Elephas maximus indicus: one gene and its partner. The protein of the gene in region 2 purifies or fractionates together with the protein of the main gene of each other region. This does not show direct contact. Links are inferred from orthologs where the notes say so. Each region holds a gene or a part of one and is shown on either strand. Other genes may lie near its edges.

Evidence for each region. Proteins that work in one complex are often made in the same cells at the same time.
Region 1: the proteins of RBBP7 (region 2) and MTF2 purify together in Homo sapiens (affinity purification with mass spectrometry; 4 studies listed by BioGRID and IntAct, counting the BioPlex papers as one, with this or other methods). This does not show direct contact. The link is inferred for Elephas maximus indicus from reciprocal best matches to the Homo sapiens genes RBBP7 and MTF2.

Annotation. Positions count from the first base shown.
Region 1 is NC_064821.1:149,096,489-149,103,863, forward strand, and holds the start of MTF2 (metal-response element-binding transcription factor 2), read right to left. Parts: upstream 3,053-7,375; 5' UTR 2,912-3,052; intron 1-2,911. UniProt on the Homo sapiens protein: Polycomb group (PcG) protein that specifically binds histone H3 trimethylated at 'Lys-36' (H3K36me3) and recruits the PRC2 complex, thus enhancing PRC2 H3K27me3 methylation activity.
Region 2 is NC_064846.1:162,733,416-162,740,934, reverse strand, and holds the start of RBBP7 (histone-binding protein RBBP7), read right to left. Parts: upstream 3,065-7,519; 5' UTR 2,756-3,064; coding exon 2,740-2,755; intron 1,972-2,739; coding exon 1,827-1,971; intron 1-1,826. UniProt on the Homo sapiens protein: Core histone-binding subunit that may target chromatin remodeling factors, histone acetyltransferases and histone deacetylases to their histone substrates in a manner that is regulated by nucleosomal DNA.

The DNA.
Region 1 (7,375 bases), on a different chromosome or scaffold from region 2:
CTTCTAATGGCAATATAATATTCCATCCAGTAAACGGAATCAAATTTACTGTATTTCTCTATTCTTGGACATGCAGGTTTCCACATTGGGTTTTTGTGTTTGTCTGTTGGTTGGTTTTTGCTTGTTTGTTTTGGTATCTTGTCCTCTCTCCCCTCCTCTCCCAGGCTTCATCTACTTCCTGGTGAACGTGGCAGGACGTGCCCTCCCCACAGCTTCTATGTTTATGGATTCATTCAGGATAGTAGCCAAACTGAGTTTAAATCCTCTCAGCTCAAATCTGCAGTACCCTGAAAAGGAATCGATGGCCTCAGCTTGGGTAAGTGCTTGACTTGACTCCCACTGCATCCATGAAGGGGAAGGCAGTTCCCCAGGAAAGGGGATGCTGACCCAACAAATATTGTGTTCACCTCAGGAAATAATCCTGAGGGAAATGGGAATAACATTTACTTGTGAAATTCAGATACAGCTTTTTTATCATCAAATTTATAAGAATTTTCCAGTTTAACTTAGTGGCCTTCTATAGACTCCTTTAACTCTAAATCCAATTGCTGACCATTTAACCCTGGAAATACTAAATTATATTGTTTTTAAAATAAAGCTACAATAAACATTTTCATCTAACTTTTTTTAACTTTTGAATTTTTTTTTTTAAATAAACTGTTGGAGGTCAGACTCTGGGTAAATTAAGAAGTGTAAATATTTTTATGCGTTTAATGCAAATGCTAAAGTAATAAAACAGAAACTTACACTGCTACCAGGTATTCAAGTGTATCATTTTCACAGAAACCACAGTAGCATTAAGTATTAGAAATCTTTTTTAACTTATTTAGTAGTCTTAACATGATACTTTTCTGCTGTAATGCAACATCTGGCTATTATCAAATACTATCCTTATTTATGTAAACCTTTCAAAGAATCTTATGAGATGAGGAAAGTTAAGCTAATTCATTACTTTTTTAATATATATCTATTATTAACAGGTTTCTTACAGGGAAGAAAGCTACTAAAGCTACTCCCCACACTGAAATCTGCCTAACGCAGTTTTCAGGTATCACGTCTCAAAGGCTAGTGGAGACTGTTCATTTACTAGTTTCAATTCCAAGTTTCATGGGTGCTATTCTTTGTGGGCTACAAAGAGTTAAATGGCAAAAGAGTACCCCTTTGTAATTCTAGGGACAGTAAAAGGAGCCGGTGAGGAAAGAGCCACCACAGATCACCAAACTGATACACTAGAACACAGGCTGGTCTGGACCCCTCACTTTCACAACTTTGCATCTCTCTGGAAACCCTGGTGACATAGCGGTTAAGTGCTGCAGCTGCCAACCAAAGGACTGGCAGTTCGAATCTGCCAGGCACTCCTTGTAAATTCTATGGGGCAGTTCTACTCTGTCCTATAGGGTCGCTGTGAGTTGGAATCAACTCAAGGGCACTGGGTTTGGTTTTCTTGGTTTTACATCTCTATGCATCATTGGTTTTCTTCTTTCTTTGTCACTTTTATATGGGGGGAAGTCCATATTCACAAGATTAGAAATAAATAATTCTGTATGCAGGGTACTAAGATCTGCTCAGTATTATCACTGTTGGAGACCATCTACCCCTTTAAATCTTATGGTTCAAACTTTTCTCACTGACACCTCAATTTCAGATTCAAAACCTATCTAAAGTCCTTTATACTGATCAGTTTCCGAATCTATACAAAATTTTTCTGGAAAAACATTTTACTGGAGAAACAGCTACTGAGTTCCCCACCTAAGTATCAAGTATACAGATGGTAATTAGAATATTGGAATTCCTTTACTAAAACCAAAAAAATCAATTGTTGCTGAGTAAATTCCAACTCATGGTGACCTCATGCATTTCAGAGTAGAGCTGCACTTTAAAATGTTTTTTATTTTTTTTCTTTGAGAACAATTTGGAGAAAAACCAAGAAATTAAAAACAGCAAGTAATCTACAATAAAGTTGCACTCAGGGTTCAAATAAAGGATCCAACAGCTAAATACTTTAGAAAGGTATCTATCCTTTAAGAAAAGAAAGTTTATGCTCCTTTCTACCAGAGGAGACACAAAACATAGGCCTATTAACCCAACAAAAGGAAAACCAAAGTTGGGCTTTATTAAGAAGCTAAAGTGTTCAAATTATTAATAATGACTCAATTTTTTTTTATAAATGAAGCATTTCCCATGAAAGATATACCTGAAAAACACCTATATTTAGTAGATTCAAAGGGCATACAGCAATTATATTTATAGCCGAAATCGTTACAAGAAACGTACCTATAACCAAACCAAGGCATACCTGTATTCATTTTTACTTGTACCCAAATATAGCCTCATTTTCCCATCTAAACATAAAAAACCATAATTAAACAATAATTTCAAACATTCTCATTAATATTTCTAGTACTCTAAATTGGTTTAATATATTCTAATGCCCCCAAAGCTTCTGGCAAATAGTATGCTCTCAATAAATATTAGCTTTCTGCATTGCTTTGTACTAAGTTAGGAAAAACCAAAAAAAAACCAAACCCAGTGCCATCGAGTCAATTCCAACTCAGAAGTTAGCAAGTAACAGTTAAATTGAATCCCAAATTGTTACTCATATCAGTGGCTCAGAATTTTTTTCCAAGTTCTTAGAAGGGTCATATTTTACCTAACAATAGGTTACATTTCTGAGTCAGTGATACATCTTTCCTCTAATCTACCTCCAACTCTAACAGTATTTTTGGTCTTCTTATAGTCTTCTATATAGAGTATAACTCTTGGAGACTATAAAGGATGATTATTTTTTTGACCTCTCCTCAAAAATATTATCTTAATTTACTGTATTCAACAGGTAACACTAGAATGACGACAAGTTGAAGAAAATCACATTTTAGTATAAATCACGTTCAAGAGAAAGAGTGGCACCTGCCTGTTTGAATGTCCTTCCAGAGAACCCAGGATTTAGAACTATCTTCAAATATGATGAAACAGCTCTGTTTCAGTATGTTTATCTGTAACACAGAGGAATATTTACAGTAATCTCTTTAAAAATGAAAAATATGAAGTTAAATTTAAAGGCTTAAGATTACTAAAAGCTTACTACAAAAATAGAAAAAGACATCTTATATTAAGGAAACTTGCCTTTTTGATAGTTCCAAGATAAAACAAGCCATCTGACCATCTAGCTAGGACATCCTGACCTTCTTCAAATTTACATGCTGGCTTTTTGGCTTTATGTCCATCCTGTAAAGACAGCTTGGTCAAGGATGTTGGGGCCTTTTGGTTTCGGCGTAAAGGAGACCGCTTGTGGACCAGTGAATTACCTGCCCCTGTAGAGTCTCTGTTTAAGAAATAAAAGACCATATATTAGACTAACTTACTTGTAGAACCTATGCCAATGATGTATATTTTAATTTAAAAAACTAATCTGTGAAAAATCTTAAATTGCAGAAAAATATAGAGCAGGTGTAGAATAGATGTGCAATAGTGGAACAGGGGTAGAATGGGGTGGAACAGACACGGAGTAGAGAAGGAATAGAGGTGGAATAGATGATGTGGAACAGATGACATGGGACAGATGTGGAATAGTTGTAGAACAGAGGTACCTCAAGATCACAAATACTCTCTAAAAACAAAGTAGTTTAAAATAACAGTATAGCAGTTCTCAATATTGTCAGTGCCTACCCTAAGTGAGGCCAGGCAACAGCACCATGCCAAGATAACACAGCATCAAAAAAGTAGCTGTAACTTGAGGTGGCTAGGCTATGGTCAGGAGCAAAGGATGATGTGAATTTCATAACTGGGTTTAGATAAACTAAAAGAAGTTAAAAAAAAAAAAAACACAAGGTTGCCATTAAGTTGATTCCAACTCATGGCAGTCCCACGTGCTGCAGAGTACAACTGTGCTCCATAAGGTTTTCAACCATGTGTCCTTTCAGAAGCAGATCACCAAGCTTTTCTTCCAAGGCACCTCTGGGTGGGTTTGAATTGCCAACCTGTTGGTTAGTAGTTGAGCACTTAACCATTTGCTCTACCCAGGGACTCTCTAAAGAGGTTACACAGCACAATTTCATACACACTTGATAAACAATAAAAATGAATTAAATTTTAATCTCTTGATTATGGCAAATACAGTTAAAGTTCATACTACGCCAGTGACTTTGGGGGTAGTTGGTTATATTTACACTCATCGGGAGGTTAATCATTACCCTCCTCCTACAGGGTATCACTACTGAAGCAAGCCTTTTTTACTGATGGGAGTTATGTTACAGTCCCTCAAATATACATACTGGGAGTTTAAAAATAAAAAAGACTGAGAACCACCAATTTCACAAATCACACTGAAATAACAATTATATTACAAGAGCATTCTTTTTTTAAAGCAAATCGAAAACCAAACCAAACCCAGTGCTGTCGAGTCGATTCCGACTCATACCCACCCTTTTAAAGCAAAAGACTCCAAAACTACATACTAAAAAATTGCATTATAGCTTATAGTCATTCCACAAACAACATATCACCATTAACTTCCTTAAAGGTAACAAAGCACTGTTTCTTATTTTGTTTCATTTTTCCAATTTAGAGTTTTCACTAATTAAACACAATGACAAAGCTCAACAATAATTCTAAAATAAACAGCACCAATACCTAAGAATTCTGTTTACACAAATTCTTGGAAAGTGATTCAGATGTCAGTGACAGAATAATGTGATGAAGGTTGAAACCAAGGCTCTAATGTTAACTCAGAGCTAGTAAGCAGAAATGCTGGAATTTGAACCCAGGGAAGACTGACTCCAACACCAGTATACAACCCATTGTGTTCCTTTAGTCGCCACTTTCTCCACCTTGACAATTTGGTAACGATAAATGTTCTGTGTGTGTGAGGGGATGGTAAATATATGCAATAAACAAAATTCTATGTTCCTCAATCAATGATTTCAGTAATTACTTACAACATCAACTCACTAAATATAAACAGACTTTACATTTTAATCATGTGGACGTAAGTTTTCTTAAAAATTTGATCCTTCCTGGTCCCTAATTTAAATATTCCCCTTTCCTTTCTCTTGTTAGCTCTGCTGAGTTAGGAGCTCCAAAGGTTGCTCATCCCTGCTACTGTTAGGAAACAAGGTTGCCAACCGAGATAAGCCCAATGGCCCCTAGGTTCTGGTGTTATAACAATTTTAATAGCAACAAATCAAAAAGACCTGCGTAACCAAAAGCACTGGACTATCCATCTGCAGACACTGTTCAGCTTCTATTATATAGAAATGTAACATATTTGACAATAACAGCACAAAGGAGGTGGATGGGAGTAAAGCTGTATCATTGTTGTTGAGTATTATCAAATACACTCCGACTCACAGCAATCCCATGTCACAAAGTAGAACTGTCCCAAAGAATTGTTTTTAATTTTATTTATATATTTTCTTGTTAATATACATACCAAAACATACACCAGTTCAACACTTTCTACATGTACAATTCAGTGACACGGATTACATTCTTCAAGTTGTGCAACCACTCTCACCCTCCTTTTCTAAGTTGTTCCTTTGCCATTAACATAAACTCACTGCCCACTAAGGTTCCTACCTAACAATCTGATACCATATAGATAGTTCTTAAACGAGGATAATGCTCAAAGCAGGCATTTTTTAATAGTTAAGTTAAACTATTGTTTGGCGTTAAGAAGACGTCAGGGATGTTTTTGGTTCAAGGTTTAAAGATTATCTCAGGGCAATAATTTCAGGGGTTCATCCAGCCCCCATGGCTCCAGAAAGTCTGAAGTCCATGGGAATTTGAAATTCCATTCTGTATTTTCCCCCTTTGGATCAGGAGTCTTCTATAGAATCCTTGATCAAAATGTTCACTAGTGGTAGCCAGGCACCACCCAGTTCTTCTGGTCTTATGGCAAAGGTAGCAGTTGTTTCACAGAAGCAATTAGCCAAACATCCCATATCTTCCTTCTGTTCCTGACTCTCCTTCTTAATCTGTTGCCCCAGGCGAATAGAGACCAATTATTTTGCCTTGGATGGACGCTTGCAAGCTTTAAACACCCCAGGCACTACACAAGGAACTAGGAGATAGAACAGAAGCACTGAACATGTTATTAGGCCAATCAACCAGATATCCAAACCATGGAATCAAATCCTATGTGGTTATGGTTGTACATAAGCAACCTAAGCACTTACACTTTTTGTCACTCTTGTAAATATACTGATCTCACCACTTTAGCCAACTCAACTTTTTACAGTTGTACAACTTCTTGGGAGCAACTACAATAATCGGCTGTACAACTCGACCCTTAATCAATGTGATTTTTCCATCATGGGTAATCCCATCTTTCCCCCTGCTTCCTGCCCCTGGTAACCACTAATAAACTTTGGTATCTATATATTTGCCTTTTCTTGTCTTTTTATGTAAGTGAGGTCGAGAATATTTGCCCTTTTGTGACTAGATTATTTCTCGCAGCGTGTCTTCAAGCTCCACTCAAATTGAGGCATGTATCAAGACTTCATTTCTAGTCACATACAAACGGGGGAAAAAAAAAGACTAAGCTCTGATTACTTTGAAGAAACCATGCAGGCAAGAAGGCAATAGGATGACATATATAAAGTCTTGAAAGAAAAAACTGCCAACCAAGAACAATATATCCTGCAAAACTTTTGTGCAAATATGATGGCGCAATTAGAGCATTTCCAGACAAACAGAAATTAAAGGTATATGTAAAAACCAAACCACAACCTTACAAGAATTATTAAAGGGAGTCCTTCAGTTAGAGAACCACCAACATCAGATGACAACCTGAATCTAGGACACAAGACAGCATTAGCCAGACACCAACCTAGATAATGAACTCTCAAGGATAAAACAAAATTAAAAGATTTACAAGAGAACCAGAGAGGTCAATCTGTAAATGACGACAACATCAGAACAATAAAAGAGGGAATAAACGGTGTAGGTACAGAACTGTCAAATGGATAGGAAGCCAAGGTGATATGAAGTATAAAAGAATGGTTTAAACTTTGGAAGACAGAGGTAAATTTCAAGGTAACCATAAGAAAGTCAACAAACCTACAAACCAAAGAAGAAAAACATAAAATCTCAGTAAACACAAAATCTACAAAAACAAAAGAAATGAAAAAAGTCCACAAACAAAAGAATTCAGCACAGAAGAGCAAAAAGAACAAAGAAAACATCAGCCCCACCAAAAAAGCACTGCAAAATGACAGCAATAAACGCAAACCTATCAATAATCACACTGAACGTAAATGGCTTAAATCCACCCATACAGATGGAGAGTGACAGAATGGACAAAAAATTTAGGACTCATCAATATGCTGTCTACAAGAGATGCACCTTATAAACAAAGACATAAATACATTAAAAAATC
Region 2 (7,519 bases):
AAGTTCCTATGTGCTAATAGTAAAAGCAATAAGTCTGGGCTAAGAGGAACACACAGATTATTGCTAAAAAAAAATATAAGCAAAACACATTACAGGTAACATTTAACAGTTACCACCTAGTTTGTGCCAGAGGCTTTACCTCCAGTGCAGGCAGTCGGCACTATTGGCATCTCCACTCACAGACACCTTGGGCAGGTAGGGATTACAAACTAACAACTTGGCCCAGGCCACAAGGCTACCTGGAAGCAGGGGCAGGATTTGAACCCAGATCTCTGGCCTTAAAGCCCCTGTTTTCTCCTATTATGTTAGAGTAAGTCAAGAAATTCAAGAGGAAGTAAGTTGCTGAAAAGTTTTAAATTTGCTTAACAGGAAGATAGAGAGAGTCAAATTCACAGGATGCTCCAATCCAGCACCTGCGTATCTTTAAAGTATATGATGGTCACTCTATTTTAAAAATCTGTTCAAAGGCAGCTACAACTGCCAACGTTTAGAAGTCTCTATTATTTGGTTCGTGGCTACTCTTCCCTTATCTGTACATTTACACTCAGATTTTCAGGAGCACCGATGGATGCCCCTACCTGTGTGGAGCTCAATGTTTGCATATGGGAAATGTAGTTCTTATAGAAGTAAATTAATTTTAGATAAAATCATAACCTTTCAAAAATCTTCTTTCTAGGTTAGAATTTGATTAGATGTTCACTGAATTATATGCTCACAATATCCAAAGCCAATACAATTTTAAAAATATGTACATAGCCACGTTCCTGACAGAAATGGGGTTGAGTGAGGGTGTCTAGCGCAGGGGCTGCCTGAACTCTGGAGCCAGCCAGTCTTCTGAGTTTTTACATCTACTCCGGCACTTACCAGCTGCATGATCTCGGACGTATCACTTAAGCGCTCAGCCTCAGTTTTCTGATCAGCAAACGGAGACGATAAAAAGTGCCTATATCATAGTATTGCTGTGAGGATTACACCAAATAATAGGACATAAAACTCTTCAGATGCGACAGGCCCTGTTCTAGGTGCTCAGTAAGTGTCAGCAATTATTACCGATACCACTTGCCGTCGAGTGGATTCCGACTCATAGCAACCCTGTAGGACAGTGGAGAACTGCACCAAAGGGTTTCTAACGCTATAATCTTTACAGAAGCAGATTACCACGTCTTTCTCCCTAGGAAAGGCTGGTGGGCTTGAACCGTCGACCTTCCGGTTAGCAGCTGAGTGCTTTAACCACTGCTCACCAGGGCTCCCTATCAGCAATTATTACTCAGACAAATATAAGAACTAGCTGAAACGACCACTCTTATGAAGACTAATAGCAATCTCAAAGTGTATTTCACACTATAAGCCAGTAACAACACCCTTTCTTTGGTGGACTGTTGCCAAATTCTTTTTTCCTTTGCCAATTAAAAGGTATTTGTCTTGAGTGCCGGTTACATGGTGTGTTCACTTTGTAAAAATTTATCAAGCCATATGCTTCCAATCTGTGTGCTTTTTCTGTACATATGCCATTTTTCAATAAAATTTTACAGAAATGCACTAGTCTGAGGCCCAGATACTGCTCTCTATATAAACCCAAGAAATGTCAAATGCCTTGTGTTTCCTATAAACATTATTAATGTCAACAGATTCTTTCTCCCTTTTCAATGGCACATTTATACATCAGAAATTATCCCATAAATCACTTCAATTTTGAAAACACAACCTATCACCTCATTCAAGGGCCAATTCATTACCTCTTATGTTCTGTGTGTAAAACGCCAAAACTAGGAAATTCATGAGGACAGTTAAATTTATGCAGAATAAAAGTTGCCAGAAACCCTTACTTAGTCACTTCAGGAAGCCACTGAACCGTAAGACTCGGCCACTGAAGAGCATGGGTCATAACCAGGTCATACAGAAACGGTGTATTCTTCTTCCAGATTTTATATTCTTCATTGATGACACGCTCCTCCACAGTATCTTCGAACACTGCAATTTGGAGAAAGCCCACAGGATTAAGCTGAGAGACGACACTCAGAATCTGCACCCAGCGACTGGAGGTCGCCCCGAGATGGCCACACCTAACCTACTCTTTCCCCCCTCTCTCGAATTTGGACACGAACAACAAACTGCTCCTCCGGAACGTGGGGAAAATATTAACACCAAGCAGCTTATTTTTCGCACTGTGAGATCAGTATCTCCTGCGTCCACAGATCTCGGTAATTACACGGCCATCAAACTGCCGCTGACCTTAGAGATTGTTCGGTCTCTTACAGCTGCTCGCACCTGTGTAAAAAGGACGACCCGGATCCCGATCCGCTCGGACAGACAAATGCACACGGAACGGACAACCATCAGCCCCTGCCCTCCGGCCCCCGCCCCGCTAGGCCCCGCTCCCACGACGCCCGCGTGGACAGCCATAGGCCCGCCCGCTCCCGAAGCCCGCCGACCAGGGCCGCGACCCGAGGCGGCCGCCGCGCGCGCGTGGAGCGAGCCGCCGTTCCCGCGCCGAGGACGCCGGAGGGAGCGCCTCGGCCGGGGGCCCACCCCTGGGCCCCGCGCCCGGCTCCGGAAGTGCTCGGCGCCCTCAGCGCTGCGGCCCGTCCCGCGCAGGCCCCTCGAGGCGCGCGCCCCACCTCGCGCCGGCCCCGCCCCCGCTCCGCACGCCGATTCGCGCCTTTCACCGGCGCGTGCCGCGGCCTGGCTCGCCCGCCGCCCCCCGCAGCCCGGCGCGCGCCGCCCCGCAGGGCCTCTTACTCTCTTTACTCGCCATCTTGCGTCGGGTCGTTCGCCCCTCGCCGCCGCCTCGGACTCCCCTCACTAGCCAAGTGCAGCTCGACCGCAGACGCTCCTGCCTTTCCCAGGCGCGTCACGCACTTCGAGCTCTCGAAGCCTGAGCTCCGGCCTGCCGCCTGGGTCCTCCCCAGACGCCGCGTTCTTCTTTCCTGCCTCCTCACGCTCGCAGGTACCGAGGTCTGAGGCGCTCTTCTCTCTCTCTCCAAACTTGGAACGAGACTTTTCAACCCGCGCCTCTCAGCCCGCCCAGGCAGCTGAGCGCAGGCGCACCCGCTCTGGGAAAAGTGAGAGGCGGCGGAGAGGCGGTCCTGGGAGCCAACGGCTCCTCCGTCTCGACCAATGGCGTGAGGCGGGCGGGTCTCGCGCGGCGTTCGGGGGCAGGCTTCTGGGGGTGGGCGGGGCGCTCCGCGGCAGGAAGTTGGCGAGGCGCAGGCGCCAGGCCTCGCCCGGCACTCCCAGGGCCGGCCGCGGGGGCGGATGGGGGCGAGGGGGCAGGGCGAATGGAGGCGCGGCGTGCCGGGCTGCGCGGGGGCTGTGAGCCTTGGGGCAGCGAGCCCTGGGGCCGCGGGGCGTGGTTGTTTGAAGCGGCGGCTGGGGGGGGCGGGGAGGCGGGAGGCGGGAGAGGGGGGCAGGGAGCTTGAGGACCTTAGCGAAGCCAAGGCCCGAGGGAAAGAGGAATTCAGAGACTCAGGGTCGTAGTCTTAGGGAGTGTTTTCTGTTCTCGAGAAATTAGTGCACTCTCAAAAACCTCCCCAGTAGTCATCCCCTTGCAATTCTGTGCACCCCGAAAGGCTCCCCTTCAGCAGGGCCTGGCCTTTCCTGGAGCCGGCGGCGGACCCAGGCGGGCTGCGGTGGGCTTTGTGGGCGTCGAAGGGGCCTTTGGGAGAGGCCCCGGGCGTTTTCTGACTGCAGGGCCGCCAGGCCGCCCTGTTAGGCTGAACGTGCGGCCTGCGATGACACAGGCAGCCGAAACGGTGCCAAAGGAGCCAAGGCCGACTGGAATAAAGTGTTCGTTTGTTTGCACGTTTAAGTCTTTAAGTGCGGCCTCCTTGCACTGCAGGGGCCTCGGGCCCAGCCCCGCACCCTGCCGAGCCACTTTTCTTGCCTGCAGGGGTCCCGGGGCGACCTCACCTCAACCGGCTGGAACCGGGAGAGCTGGAATGAGCTGGCCCAGCTCCCCTGAATCCCGACGCGGGAATTTGGTAGTCCGAGGACTGTGTGGGGATGAGAACGCGGGCTGGAAAGCCGAAAGGGGAAGCTAGAGGCGAAAATCAGGGCCCGAAGCCGAAGTCGAGGGGCCGGGTGGGGGAGGCGGCTGAGGGACTGACAGGCAAAGAGAACTGCAGTCCCCCTTCAAGAGTATCTTCGGAGCACTGGTTGCCTTGACAACTTTCCAAATGCCTTCACGCGGGTGACCGCGGCGACGCTCGCATGAGACAGTGCAAGTGCTGGGGTGATGCTCAATTTTGTGATCGTAGAAGAAACCCAGAAATCACTCAAGTCGGTGGCAGAGCCACTCCTGTTACCTTATATAGAAATTTACTGTCCGGTGTTTTGGGTTGACTATACAATTCATTAATAAATCGCCCTCTGTCCGCGTCAGGCACAGGAATCTTTTCTTGCCTGAGGTGATGGCTGGAGAGGGAAGAGGATTGGAAGGTACTTTAAGCAGTACAGCCCTCACATTCTAGAACCCAGATCCGGCGAACTTTGTCTCCAAAGGGCCCGATAGTAAACATTTTAGGCATTGCAGGCATTTATATATGAGTCGCCATCGACTCGACCGCAAGGCGTTTGGTATTTTGGTTTGTAAACCCTGTTGCCATAGTGGTTAACAGTTCGGCTGCTAACCAGAAGGTCGGCAGTTCGAATCCACCAAGCACTCCTTGGAAATCCTATAGGGCAGTTCTACCCCGTCCTATAGACTCGCTCTGAGTCCGAATCCACTCCATGGCAGTGAGTTTGGTTTTTTGTTTTTTGGTTTACTCAGCTCTGCCGTTGTTGTTGCACTAAAGCAGCCATAAACAATGCGAATGAACCTGGCTATTCCAATAAAACTTTATAGACACTGACATTTGAATTTTATAAAGTTTTCACGTCACAAAATATTCTTCTTTCGTTTTGTTGTTCCCCAATCGCTTAAAAATATTCATAGTTCCTGGCCATACAAAAACAGGCGGCGGGTTAGCTTTGGCTCGCTGACTTTGCTCTGGAATAATTGGGTATTACTGCCTCAATGCGAACCTTCTCGTCTGTACAGCAAGAAAAGGCTTGGCAGAGATTTCCAGTCTCCCATTAAAATAACTTACTCATTTCTAATGGGTAGGCATGATTTCCCAAACCTTTTTTTTTTAATTAAATGTTTACAGGGTTGAAAGACAAGAAATCTTCCCAGATGATAGGGCTTTAAAATCTTTATACTGCCTACCTCACCGAGGGTCAGAGAAGGGACTATGGAACCAATAAGTTAGAAGTTTCTGAAAATATTCACCCAGTTGTTGTTAGTTGCCGTCAAGTCAGCGCAGGCAGTAGTCGTAAGTTTAATCGGGAAGTATGCACGACATAGTTGTTAGCTTTGGATTTTGCTGGGGGGTTTTTTGTTTGTGTTGTTAAATTGGATGTGTCAATTCATTTCTCTCTCTCTCTTTTTAATATTTTTCCCATCAGGTACTTTTAGCACAAAAAATGTGATACCAATTTTCTCTTTTGAATTGCTGGACTGTTCATTTTTGTTTTGCCTTTCTCCCCAGCCACTTTGCCCTGATCCTGATCTTTTCTCCCGCTGTTACTGTGGTAGTGTTTTTGTCTCTTTGGTACTCAGCTAGAGCTGTTAATTAAAACAGAAGCAGGTGCACACACAAGGTGAGGAGGGTCTTACTTCAGAGAGCCCTTGCCTCAAAATTGCTAAGTGTTAACTACCACTTTCTCCAGGCCGCCCCAACGGTGTTCCACGGAGAACTACACGTGTACATAAACTGAAACAAGTTATACACCAAACTGTGATTTGCTCTGGGGTTTTATATTTTCTTTTTTTTTTAAATATGCAGATCACCCTCAATTGATTTCATGATCGTAATCAGTCTCAACTTGAAGTGCACAAAAACACTAGGTATATTTTTGAAATCTTTAGCTTTCTCTGACCACCTTTTATAAAATAGCAACACTCCCCACCTGGCCCCACCCATGCTCACTCTGTAGCCCCATTCCTCTATTTTATTTTTTTCATAGCAGTTATCACCACCTGACAGAGGTTTGTTCTAGGCTATCTCCCCTACCCTAGAATGTAAATGTGAGGGTGTGGCCTTTGTTTTGTTAAATCCCCAGCACCTGAACCAGCGCTGTGCAGCTGAGGAAGCTGATGGGGGAGTCTGAGAGTCTGAAATTTCTGGCCAAGGTCACATAGCTACTGAGTGTTGGAGTTGAAATTGGAATCCAGTCAGTCTTAAATAAAGACAACAAGCTTATTGAGAACTGATTGTATGTTCTAGAATGAACTGTTTGCTAAAAGGAAAAAGAGAGGGAGCGAGAGAAATAATACCCATTATTTCTCATTAGCAACCCCGTCTCACTAGTTTTTTGTGAAAATCTTAGCCATTCACAAATATTTTTCCCAACACAAGCAGTGTGCTGGGAACTGGGGCACATGGATGAACAAGACATACAGAGATCCCGCTTTCTTATACATTCCTTTATTGCTTGTTTTTCTTATTACAAAAGCAAATCTCATTACAAAAAAATCTGAAAATTTAACGTGCAAAAGAGGAATGTAACAAATACCAATTTTGTTTCTGGTCATATTGTTTTCATCCAAATCATCAGGAGCTAAAGAAAATACGCTAAAATATTAATAGCCATCGTCTCCTGGTACCGGTAATATGGATAATGGTTATTTTATTTTTCATATATTGCTCTATTTTAAAAATTTCTCCAGTAGACAACATTACTCCTGTAAACAGGAAAAAAAAAAAGAACAACACCCCACACATTTTAGGAAAAAATATTTGACTAAATGGTAGAAGAGTAATGCAGACAAATGAAAAGAATTATCTTAGTGTGATAGAATTCTAGGTAATTTTCTTAAAATATTGTTTAATTGTGTGAGGGAGTTAAAGGAAAATTATTATAATAGAAAACATACTGTACTTGTTTGAGCTTGTACTTTGTTTTCATTTGGTATTATATTTTTATTAGGTAAACTGAAGTAATTGTTTTATACTTATAAATGTGTTAATATTTAACCTTCGTGGGGTGTCTGTCTGGATTCAAAAAGACCAACGTACGATGTTGTGCTAGCTACTTATGTTAAGCAACACAAGGTCCTCATTGGTGACAGTGAATAAAGGAAATGACCTAGACCAGAATCACTGGGGCTTAGACTTAGAATAGTAAATAAATATTTGTCCAACGAAAAATAATGAATAAGAAAGTCCTTCTGGGCTGGTCCCAATCCACAAGCGATGATGGGAAGGCTTCCTGTGGACAACCTTCTTTCAGAAAAATTGCTCTGAGTATCCCATCCCAAGCACGTGGTTCTTTTATTCAAAGATTTAGTATACACTGCATTCATTGTAATTTACAACTGAAGGCCTTTCCTGACGTTCAGGAGAGTGAAAGTTTTTTGTCCTTGCTGGCAACCATCCATTCTCCCTTCTCCAGTGAACGGCATGCTAAATTTCTTGTCAGTGGGTTACTCTTAACAGACTGGATAGTTTGGCAGGACTGTCCATCAGGATGGCCTGCT